3 linked regions of the Xenopus tropicalis genome follow. The protein of the gene in region 3 purifies or fractionates together with the protein of the main gene of each other region. This does not show direct contact. Links are inferred from orthologs where the notes say so. Each region holds a gene or a part of one and is shown on either strand. Other genes may lie near its edges.

Region 1 (3,652 bases), on a different chromosome or scaffold from region 3:
ATATTGGCAATTGGACCTTTTCCACAGCCTGCAGTGATGTTCTTACAGCAGGAATCAGGCACAGTGTTTGTACCAGTGAAGGGAGCATATTGTCTCCAATCAGTTGAGTTGATGGCACCACAGCACTGAAACTGCAATAGCAAACAGACATGTTATGTATCGACATGAAAAGACTGTGCCGATCCCCAACTCTTTATACAAGCAGAATACTTACTTCTTTCTGCAAGAGGTCAATGCTATCCGCTATATCCTTGGTGTCATTATAATGGACCATACCATTTTTAAAGGAGTCCTCAAATGCAGTGCGCAGCTGAAGTACAAACAAGAACAGAGAAAGTTATGGCAGAAAAAACTATTGGTTCACACATCTTTAATGCCCACTTTGAGAAGACTGTACAGAGAAAGGTAGGTCTTGAGGAGTACTAGATTCCCTGTTTAATGTGTTTTGCACTGGCACACAAGTGCACGCCATAAAGGCATAGAGTGAACATGGCTTGCACTGTAAGTCTAATACAGTAATAAATAGGTCTGGAATGTTCTATTAGCCCACTGGCAAGTAAAACATACAGCTGATCAATAAAAATTCTTAAACTTCTTTCACACGCCAAGAAAGTTAGCATAAACAGACATATAGGGCCCAAAGCAAAATTAAGCCAGTTATAGAGTGGATTCATTCAGCGGCAGGAGAAGGAAGAAAGGAACCAGAATTACCTTGTCCTTGTAAACATAGGCAGCAATAGCAGCAGCAATCTCAACCAGGAAGATCAGCACCAGCACAACGGCAAACTGCAATGATAAGAAAAAGCAATAAGTAATTTTTTCCCCCCACATACACTGAAGCAGAATTTCTATTCCTTCCTGCATGTATATTTTGGAGTCATCAATTATCTTCACTTCCTATCTAGATATGTATCAAGCATGGACTTGTTTTGTCAAAAGCAGGTATTTTACACTTTTATGTGTATGCTTCAGAAGTACTAGCACAGTTCTAGAAGCTGCAGTGTCAGTCATTTAAGCTGAAATTGGGCTATAGGGCACAAATATACATAGCAGATAACCTGTGTAGAATATAATGGATTTGGGGTTAGTGGCATCCAGGAGGTGTGCCTACTACTAGAAGAGAAACACAGGGCTTAAAACACCACTGCCGGCCTATTTCTGCTGGTAAATACTACTCATTGAGAAGTGGAGTTTAACCATCTGTACTCAAGAATGCCTTAGAGGTCCATCTGTCACAGCTCCTTGTTCTTTGTATGTGGCCCTTTCCATTCAGTAACATAAGCAGTGGCCTCAAGTGACAATTATGCCTCTTTACAGAACCATAGGCTACTGCCACGTGGGTGATTCTTGGCACAGAAGCCAAGAAGCTGTCTCAATGCCCCTAAACGCTTCTCTATGTGCCTGTTCTAGGAGCCATTGCATCAGCCCTGTTGCAGACAAACACCCATGTGTAGCAGTAGCCACAGAGTGAAAACCCCTCATATAAAATAGGGCATTTGTTGCCAGGAAATTGTAATAAAGCACCTATAAATTGAGAAAAAAGTTAAAACCATTTCTTACCGTTGTCACCATGCAGTAGTTCTCTTTTAGTGCTCCACAGCAGCCAAAGAAGGCAATTAAAAAGATGACAACACCCACTACGATGATGACTATGGGAGCTCCAGAGGAGGTGGCATTCTTCATGATAAGAGTGTGGTTAAGCTGGATTTGCACGTATATCCCGATCGCAATGAGAGCAATGCCACACACCTAAAAAACAAACCAATCGGAAGATGAGTATCTGCACAACACGTAAATGTACAGGCCGTGCTAATGTGGCCCTCTTGGATGCGTATAACTGCAACTGAGCAGAACAATTTAATAACGGCCATTTGTAATAACGGCACAAAAGGGCAGAGGTTGTTGTGCCGTTTCGTTCCTACTGGGCTCATTATGCAGGGAAAACAAAGCAGCTTTTGTAGCACTTTCCTCTCAAACTGACAGAGCAAGAAAAACAAGTAATGCCAGTGCTGCCAAACCCTTCATGCAAACTCTTCAATTAGCCATTTTGTATTTAACCGTATAAATAGTATTCTAAAGGTTTGAATGAGAGGAGCATGGGATGCTGGATCGCCTTTTAGTGCTGCTTTCACTATAGAAAACTGAACACACACAATACAATAGGTGCAGCAATGTCTCTGACATCATTTATTTAAGTCATAAAGACTTACCTTTAATCAGAGTGTAGGTGTGGGGATGTGGGTGTGAGGGTGTTGCCATACTGAAAAATTACTCCACCCCCTAGGGAGCCAGACTCCCTAATGCTGACTAACTGAGCATTCACTACTAGGTAAAGAAAGTGGTCAGAACCCCCCTAGACGGGGAAGTGACCATACCAGTGAATCTCTTGTGCAAGAACAGAAAGTGACTGAAAACAATGTATGTTCTCTAGCAAACTGACCTAATGCAACTTGCACCATTGCTGTGGGGAGTTTCTTGCGCAACATTTGCTTCCTCATTTTTAGAGGAGAATCACATGAAAGAGAAACAGTGAGCTGGTGTCATGATGTTATTCTCACTGAGACCATAAAGGCCCAGGCTCACAGGGAGATTAGTAGCCTGCAACAAATCTGCACTACCTCGGGCAACTAATCCCCCTGAAATGCTTTCCCACCGCTGATCATGTAAATCTCCAGTGGGAAAACATACGCATTACCTGAAGTTTCCTTGTGGGGACTTTGTTAGTCACTGGTGGTAAGTCACCGATGTTTTCCAATAACCAGTAGAAAAGGATTTGGGAGAGACTAGTCGCCCACGGTAGTGCAGATTTATTGCCATGGCCAAGCCTTGAGAGGGGTAATAATAGGTGCTTTGGTGGCACTCATGGATTACTGATGAGTGTCTGGGCTGCATTTCTGGTAAGATAAACTGCCTCAGGGCAGGAAAGTCATCTTCCTTTTTAAAAGATCTCCAGACTTCTGAAATAATGCTGCAAGCCAGCTGATTAAAGCTGAGAATTGACTCAAAAGACCCAAAGAACAGAAATAAAGAAATAATCACCGCTTTCAACTACAATTACACATAACTTTAAAAGGAGGACTACACCCCCCACAGCTATAAAAGCCCCCTTAACTGACCTGCCTTGACCACCCCCCTCACCTCTCCCTTATCGCATACTCTAAAGCTGGCCATACACGTGGCGATCTCACGATGTTTCGTACGACCGTCGGTCGCACGAAACATCGTCAGATCCGCCACACACCATTCAGGGCTGAATCGGCAGGTAAGGAGGTAGAAACAATAGGATTTCTACCTCCTTCTGCCGATTCAGCTCTGAAGGGAGAATTTTGGTCAGGCGCCTTCTATGGCGCCCGATCAAAATTTTCTAACTTGCCCGATCGGCGAGCCGACCGATTTCAGCAGCTTCCTGCGATATCGGTCGGCTCGCTGACATGCCATACACGCACCGATTATCGTACGAAACGAGGTTTCGTACGATAATATCGGTGCGTGTATGGCCACCTTAACTTAGGAAATCAGCTTCAAGTGCACATGCTCAAGCAGGGTCCATGTCGGCGGTGACACACAAAGCTTCTACAATTCAACAGAAGATGTCTCCCAGGTACGCAGCTGCACTGCTCTGGATTTTTAGGTTGGGGTTTGCGACAGGGGT
Region 2 (3,652 bases), about 38 Mb from region 3:
GTAATCAAATAAAAAAAAGGTTAAATTGTGGGAGCACAGATTTGCTGAAGGAAAAATCCCTACAATGAAATGTTTGGGGTCAGTCATCAATAAGCAGCAGGAGTATTATACTAACAAACTTCAGCCAATCTAATATAATACATTTTTTTGTCAAGTCCCACAAACGATCAGAACAATACAAAAGTGTCCATTTGGCATCAGATACCTATGTGAATATATCTAAGAATTTGATCTTTTTAAAAGTTTCTGCCTCCCAAATTGAGGCCTTGGTTTTGTTTCTGGTTTTGGCTCCTGTTTCAGCTGCTTGTGGCTTTGCTTACCTCAGCGTGGTTAACCCTGTATTTTAGTTTAGTGTATTCTAGAGATTTGGTTTCAGCTCAAATTGAATGTCCAGTCTTTGTTCACAGCCCTCTTAATGGTACAACCTTTGGTCAGGGCCCCCCTTACCAAAAGAGATGGCTACATATATATAGGAAATATCAGTCATTCAGTCTTAGTTAAAAGAATATGAAGTACAGCACAAATCCCACCTCAATTGACCTTCAAGCTTGGCTTTCAGGTGTATCTATGACAGCTAATGACAATTTTCATTGATTCGTATCCCAAATGGCCTTAAGGCTGAGCCATTAAGTTTGGGAACCACTGTCCTGAAGTAAAAATCTCTACAATATGAAGACTGTATTGTCTATTAGTTCAAGAGAACAAGTATGCAAACCCATAAAGAATGCAGCACACTGTTTAATTGTTTTTCTTTATATGCCTGTACACCATGGGAAATGTACACATCCAAACAATCTGGCTATAATTGCACACATCTCAAGAACTATGAACACACCCCACAAAATACTGTATATATGTATATTAAAATATAAAGAATAAAATCAATATTTTTTAATGTTCACACAAATACTTACATTTCCTCTGTTGATATACACTGTGACTTGTCCCTCATCCCTCACCTCTGAGAACATGGGAGCACCAACTAATAGGTCTGAGAGGCCATCAGAGTTCAGATCAACTGCACATAAGGAGGAGCCAAAGTAAGAGCCCACCTGCAACCAAGCCGAGTCACAACAAAGCATTCAGTATTTTTCTCCAGAATAAAGATTCATTTTATGGTAACAAATGCAATGTATGCAAATATATATTAATTTTAACTTTGACACTTTCTGTGAGCATCAATATTATACTTAGGAGTGGGCTTAATGTTAACATTTTAAAGAGAAGCATATAGTCCACATTTATAAACATTCACTAAAAAGCAATGTTAATTTGTGCACAAAACACAAATGGATCCTGTAACATTCCTGTAAATAATGATCCTGTAACATTTATTGGATAAGGATCCCAAGAAGAAGAATTCCAGCTTAACCTCTGCCATGGGGTGGTGATGTGCATGATGCTATTGCAGGCAATGTTTTCAAACACACTGCACATTTACCTCAACAGAAATTGGATGCAACTGTGCTAAAAAGCTTCAGTATTCAGATGTTATGATTTCTGGTATCGAAATGCCACCTGGGCCTGTTTCCCACGAGTTTGCTGTGTCAGTTGATGCAGGCTACAGTGGGGATAGCATTAGGGTTCCCCTGCATCAATAGGCACACTGTGTTCAATTCACTGGAAGAGGTGGGGTGCGGGAAGTGGCACCAAGCACAACAATGCTGAATTGCAGGGAGTGGCTTTGGACGTAACAATAAATAATGAATTAAATTTTTTTTGTGCAATGACTATGGCAACTGCAGTAGATTTGTCCATTGCAAGGTGCTTTAAAGGTGCAAGGACATGTAAACCCCCCACAAAATGCGTAGGTATTAATAGATGAATTCACAAGACAGGTTACCCTTTTTATTTTTTTATTATAAATAAATTTAGCATCTTACATCAGCATTAACTTTTACTATTTTGTAAGCATTCTGGTTAGACTTTGTTCCAGACTTACTCATTACCTTGAACTTAACAATCAGCTGTTTGTTTTTCTACAACATTATTAGACATAGTTTGTAGTGAATGTTTATCTATTATCTAAGACTGGCAAATAAAACCATTGTCTGCAGTGAATGCATAAAGCTTTTACAAGGCCAATTTGAATCTTTGATTCATGTTTAAACAATATACATATAAAATGTGAGAGTTTACCTCTGCATGTGCCTGCACCAGGGCCAACACAATGGTTCCGGGTGCAGGCAAAGAAGAAAGCTAATGTCAGTGTTGGGGCTGATTCTTGGCATGTGCTTTTCCGCAGGCCAAAATCAGCCCCCATGTGGCATTACCATTATGCACAGCTTATCATCTCCCTGTGAACAAATTATCCTTTTGATAGGGGGAGAAAGTGGGGGTTGAGTGAGTGCAGTGATAGACAAAATCCTCTTGAACTCCCTTCATTGTACTCAATTTTAGTAAAGGTTTGTGCTGTCGCTTAAACAGATCTGGAACAGGCCTTCTGAACCCTGAAATAGCATGCGCAAACTGTTTTGCAGGCACAACAATTGTAGAAAAGTAAAACATGGGAAGGCTAACCTTTTTTCCAGAAGCTTGAAAAATCTTAACAAGCGATACAGACCTCTTATCAGTTCTGAAGATAAACACCTAAAAGGAAAAAATATGTTTATTATAAATGTGGAAAGGTTTAGTGTTTCTATTCCAGACTGCTTTTAGATCCCTATACATACACCAACTGCCTGCACATTACCAAGATCTTATATGAAGACAAAGGCAGTGTAAATGTGGCTAATATATTAGAATACTTTTTATTTTCTTTAAAAGAAATATCGATTGGGTTATTGTTTATATACTGCAGCAGTACACTATAGCTCAATCAACCGTTCCCTTAGGAATTATAATAATATCTAAGAAATTACACAGCTTACAAATGGGTTTAGTAAAACATTCAGAGTTGTAATATTGGGTAATCAATATTACTGTAGACAAATCTGCATTACATACACAATTACTCTTGCATGTATTTGCAAACAACTATCGACAGTGATAGAGTACATCAGGTTAAGAATTGAATATAAAATTGCTTTGTCTGCCAAAGTACATGTACTTCACTAGATTAATATATTAATATTTCAGACGCAACAAGGGTACAAAACAATTGTAACAACAGGACAAGTAAGCCAAATGTATTGTTAGAATGTAGTAATTAATTTGTGTGACAGTTACATTTCTCCAAGCACACACGCAACCGAAAGAAAATACATTGTGATGAACTGGCAAAAGTATCTTCTTAGATAAATATTACTGACAGTGTTGATGTAAGTACTGTTTTTACAATATTGAGTAGTGCCAGTTCTATTTCTGTGGAGATATTTATAAAAATAACTCAGCTGAGGTAAAAAAATTGGAATATAATATATAACGCACAATACAGAGAAAAGATTTTTCAGGTACATAGACTAAAATAAACTGTGAACAACAGCCTCATTCCAAAAGCTAAAGCTCCTAAATATCCAAGGATATTAGCTCCTTTCATAATATGGAACAGCTGTGCTGCAGTCCTATGTCATTTTAGGCAGGGTCCCCAATTTACCTCCATTAACATTCTGTGTTTTTTCTGATTTGTCCTATATTTTGGGCTGCTTTATATAAAGCACACACCACACTATGCATACCACAGTGTGCAGAGAACATGGACTAATCCACATTA
Region 3 (4,426 bases):
TTTTATAGTTTTTGAATTATTTGCTTTCCACTTCTGACTCTTTCCAGCTTTCAAATGGGGGTCGCTGACCCCAGCAGGTAAAAATTAAACTGTAGCCCCACAGAGCAATAGTTTGTTATTGTTTTATTACTTATCTTTCTATTAAGGCCCTCCTATAATCCCCTCTCTCTTTCAAACCACTGCCTGGTTTCTAGTTTAAATTGGACCCTGGCAACCAGGTAGATGCTAAAATTCAACACTGAAGATCTGCTGAACGAAAATAAAAAACAGAGACCAATGCAAGACCAACTGCAAATTACCTTAGAATAGCACTATGCTAAAAGAAAAAAACGTATGTATTTGTAGTTGATAACCCTAACAAAACATGCTGCCCACAGATGGGGAGACAATTCCAGATAATTAACTTATAAATCACTGTGACAAATCTCTTTCTCTGACACAAACCTATATTAGGGAATATTCTCAGTAGCACCATCTTGATTAGATGTATACAGGTTTGATCTTGGGTTAACCAGCACAGCTCATATTAGAGCTTAGACAGGGTCTAGGGGGGGGTCACTTTACCACTTTTAAGCTGGCCATACACGGTAAGATCCACTCTATGGCGAGGTCACCAATCAAACGTATCTTCTCCAAATACACTCACCTATGGGTGAGCAATATCAGGCGAATTCAAATTAAAACAGGGGCCACATCAACGAGCCAATGTGGTTCCCGATACGACGGAAAAATCAAACCTGCCCAGTCAACATCTGGCCTGAAATTGGCCAAATCTCGGTCGGGCAGACCCATTGTTCGTGCCCACACACTGGCAGATAAAATCTGCCCGGTATGGCCTCCTCTACTCACAAGGGAAATGCCTTCTAGATATATGCAAATCGCAGTGAAATGTGAATTGCGCACAAAAATTCGCAAATGAGACTGCGATTTGCCCTCTGTGCCCATTTATTATGAATAAATATAGCGCGGACACAGACTGCGCGCATAAACATTCGCAATTTACGAATATGCCATATTTAAAAAACTTGAAGGGCATTTGCACTGTGAATAAAAATTTCGCAATTATATTTGCCCATTAAACGCACCAGTCTTGTCCAGCTTTATAAATATAAATACAGGTAGAGTAAATACGTTCACTGTGTGAATAATTCTGCACTGTGCAAATTTTATAAATGACCCTCAGTGCCTAGATACAACTACGGAGTCACTTGGGACCTATGAACAATGTGCAGGTCACATCAAGGTGCAAATAAGGTGCTGGTGGCACAGGGAGTGCTGATTTGCACCTTGTGTGCACAGCTGCTCAAAGCCAATAAGCCCCAGTGTGGCTTTACACTCCTACTGGGCGGAAATGGTAATTGTTGTCCTTTCAGCTAAATTGAAGTGTAGTATCTGTAAAGAGAATGTGGCTGCTCCTCTATATAATCCAGACTACCCTGATCCTCTGCACAAAGGGCCCTGCCTGCCCGGGGTGGCAGATAATCATAGGAAAAGTGGGACACTGAGTTTCATAAAAGCTCTTTTATGAATTTATATTTGAATCTTCACCATGCAGGAAAAGGTGATATACTGTGTTAGCCAGTCAAAATGTTTATAAGGGTAACCCTTTAGAAATAAAAGTGGTATAAAGGCGATACCTTTATTGGCTAACTAAGATAATCACAGCAAGCTTTCAGAACATTTTAGTTCCTTTGTCATACTGATTACCTCACCATTAATCTCATAAGGTTCCCAGCACAGATTTAGGCTCTGTTACCCACCCTTGAACCCGGCCCTGCCAAGAATACGTTTTGGGACTCATCCACCCTCGGAAGCCTCTGGGCTAAAACGCTGCTCGGGCTTCAATAAAAAAAGCCACATACAAGCACCCACTCATAACTCAATATAAGTGCCCTCAGTGTCAGCCAAACCATTATTCGTGCCTGGGGGCCGCCTTCTCTTAGGAGACTCTGTTAGGAGCCAGCAGCCAAATGAAGCAGTGCTATATTGTACTTATAGTGACCGTGGCACAACTACCCTGCGCCCTACTGAACACACAGGGAAAGGGGACAGCGTGGGCCGGCTGAGCCCTGGTTAATAATATCTATGGTTATGGTAATGATCTACTGTTAAAAATAAAGAGAGAAAGAAGGAGACTGCCCCCCCTTCACCCCTCCCAGGATGTCCTCTGCCGCCTCCCTCTGTGCACATTCCTGCAGGGAAACTCCCTGCTGTCTCTATGGGGGGGGGGGTACATACAGTCCCAGCCAGACACCCAATTCACTTACACAGAGCCCCCTACACACATGATCATGTAATTAGCGCAGTAACTAAGGAGGGAGAGCGCTGCAGCCCTGGAAGGGTGGGATCCCACAACAAGGAAAGTTTATAGGAAGCTGCCCCTAAGCAAGGTCACCCCCTCCCCCAGTCTCTATTAACCCTCTACCTACTGAAGCACAAACTCCACAATGGAAAAACTCCAGGTGGCATGTACTACAAGTCCCACAATCCCCTGCGAGTGAATGCAGTAGTTCCCAGCAGCTGTAGAGCCCCAAGTCTGCCCCCCTGTACCTATCACTGACAAACAATACAACTCCCGGCGTGCAAAGTAGCTGCTACACGTCCCGGCTTCTCTAAGCCATATGGATTCCCCACAGGGAGGCAGATACGGAGCAGCAATGCCCTAAGCACAGACTGTACCAAGTGAGCGGACACTGGGGCCAGAATGCAGGTAACACAGAGCGGCGGCTCACCTTTGGCGTGGGGCCCTTGGATCCCAGGAGCGGCGCCCTGCCGGGCTGAATCGCACAGACTAAGCGCTGCCTCAGATTGCGGCCTCCGAGCCCAGGCAGGTCTGCGCGCTGAATGAAGTGTCCGCTCTCAGTAACGGTCCCCTCCCGAGTAGCACCCAGCCTGCGCTGACGCACCACAAGCGCGCCCCCGCACTCACACGGACGCGCACAGCCAGAGCAAGAAGCGCCGCAGGAAGCGCATTCCAGCCCGGTGACGTCAGGATGTGGGAGGGCGGGACTGGCTACGTGGGAATGGGGGGGGATGGGGGCAGGGGCTCCCACATGGCCACTGTGTAGTGGCGGCTATTGCCCCATACTGTCTGATTAGTAGCACTGGGATCGCTTCCCGATATCTGGCACAGCTTGGCACCAGTACCACAGCTCAATAGGCATACACTCCAGGGGATAAGCTTTGCTTGTAGTACAGTACAGTTTATTGGTACCACATGGTTTGATGGCAGTCAGTAGCTGAAAGCAGTTTGTATGTTGTTGGGCGCTTCTACTGATTCTTGTTTCATTCTTCAGGCCACAGGCGAGCAATCCCCAGGGTAGGGTTCATCTGCCTGAAGGGTTGCCACCTTTTCTGGAAAAAAATACCAGCCTTCCAATATTTTTATTTATATCTATTTATAACATTGACATGAAGCCTAATTTTTACCAGTCAGGCAAGTGTGGCAATAATATCTGTGTGCCGCCGTATTCTAATGGTACCCCAGCATCAGGCCCTGGCATTTCAGGTACGCAAAGGCCAAAGTAGCACCCCCACCGGGCCAATAAGTAGTGACTGTCTATGCCAGCGGTTCCCAACCAGTGGCTCTTTAGCAACATGTTGCTCCCCAACCCCTTGGATGTTGCTCCCAGTGGCTTCAAAGCAGCTGCTTATTTTTGAGTTTCTGGTAAGGAGGCAAGTTTTGGTTGCATAAAAACCCAGTATAATGCCAAACAGAGCCTTCTGTAGGCTGCCAGTCCACATAGGGGCTATTAAGTAGCCAATTATAGCTCTTATTGGCACCCCCAGGGACCATTTCCATGCTTGTGTTGCTCCCCAACACTTTTTCCACTTGAATGTGGCTCACAGGTATAAAAGGTTGGGGATCCATGGTCTATGGCAGTGCTGTCCAACTGGCGGCCCGCGACCCCCCTCTGTGTGGCCCCCATCTGTCTGGCTGCTTTGATGGTTTACCTTTGAGTAAGCATTAAATGGTATCAGTACTGAGATTAACTGGCCCCCTGCATGGTTCTCACCTCAGATTCAGGCTGTAATCCCTCTGTATTGTTTAAAAATTTAATCCCCTGTGTTTTTCACACCTTTTAATACCTGCATGGTTCACCCCCTGCAGTGTTCACACCTCAGGCTCAGGCTGTAATCACTCCCATTGTTCACTTCTTCACACCTCAGACATAGGTACTGTAGGCAGAGTATGGCACATACAGCCAGCATAGGGCAGGTAGAGTATGGCACACACAGGCAGCATAGGTCAGGGAGGGTATGGCACACACAGTCAGGGTAGGGCAGGCAGAGTATGGCACACACAGTCAGGGTAGGGCAGGCAGAGTATGGTACACAGAGGCAGCATAGAGAAGTCAGAGTATGGCACACATAGGCAGGGTAGGACAGGCAGAGTATGGCACACACAGACAGCATAGGACAGGCA

The links.
Region 1: the proteins of itgb1 (region 3) and cd63 purify together in Homo sapiens (affinity purification with western blotting; 3 studies listed by BioGRID and IntAct, with this or other methods). This does not show direct contact. The link is inferred for Xenopus tropicalis from reciprocal best matches to the Homo sapiens genes ITGB1 and CD63.
Region 2: the proteins of itgb1 (region 3) and itga9 purify together in Homo sapiens (affinity purification with mass spectrometry; 3 studies listed by BioGRID and IntAct, counting the BioPlex papers as one, with this or other methods). This does not show direct contact. The link is inferred for Xenopus tropicalis from reciprocal best matches to the Homo sapiens genes ITGB1 and ITGA9.

What each region holds. Positions count from the first base shown.
Region 1 is NC_030678.2:137,134,064-137,137,715, forward strand, and holds part of cd63 (CD63 antigen), read right to left. Parts: intron 1,750-3,652; coding exon 1,561-1,749; intron 787-1,560; coding exon 712-786; intron 311-711; coding exon 215-310; intron 132-214; coding exon 1-131. UniProt on the Homo sapiens protein: Functions as a cell surface receptor for TIMP1 and plays a role in the activation of cellular signaling cascades. Plays a role in the activation of ITGB1 and integrin signaling, leading to the activation of AKT, FAK/PTK2 and MAP kinases.
Region 2 is NC_030682.2:61,158,677-61,162,328, forward strand, and holds part of itga9 (integrin alpha-9), read right to left. Parts: intron 2,590-3,652; coding exon 2,521-2,589; intron 1,053-2,520; coding exon 915-1,052; intron 1-914. UniProt on the Homo sapiens protein: Integrin alpha-9/beta-1 (ITGA9:ITGB1) is a receptor for VCAM1, cytotactin and osteopontin. It recognizes the sequence A-E-I-D-G-I-E-L in cytotactin. ITGA9:ITGB1 may play a crucial role in SVEP1/polydom-mediated myoblast cell adhesion.
Region 3 is NC_030682.2:22,870,456-22,874,881, reverse strand, and holds the start of itgb1 (integrin beta-1 precursor), read right to left. Parts: upstream 2,835-4,426; 5' UTR 2,733-2,834; intron 1-2,732.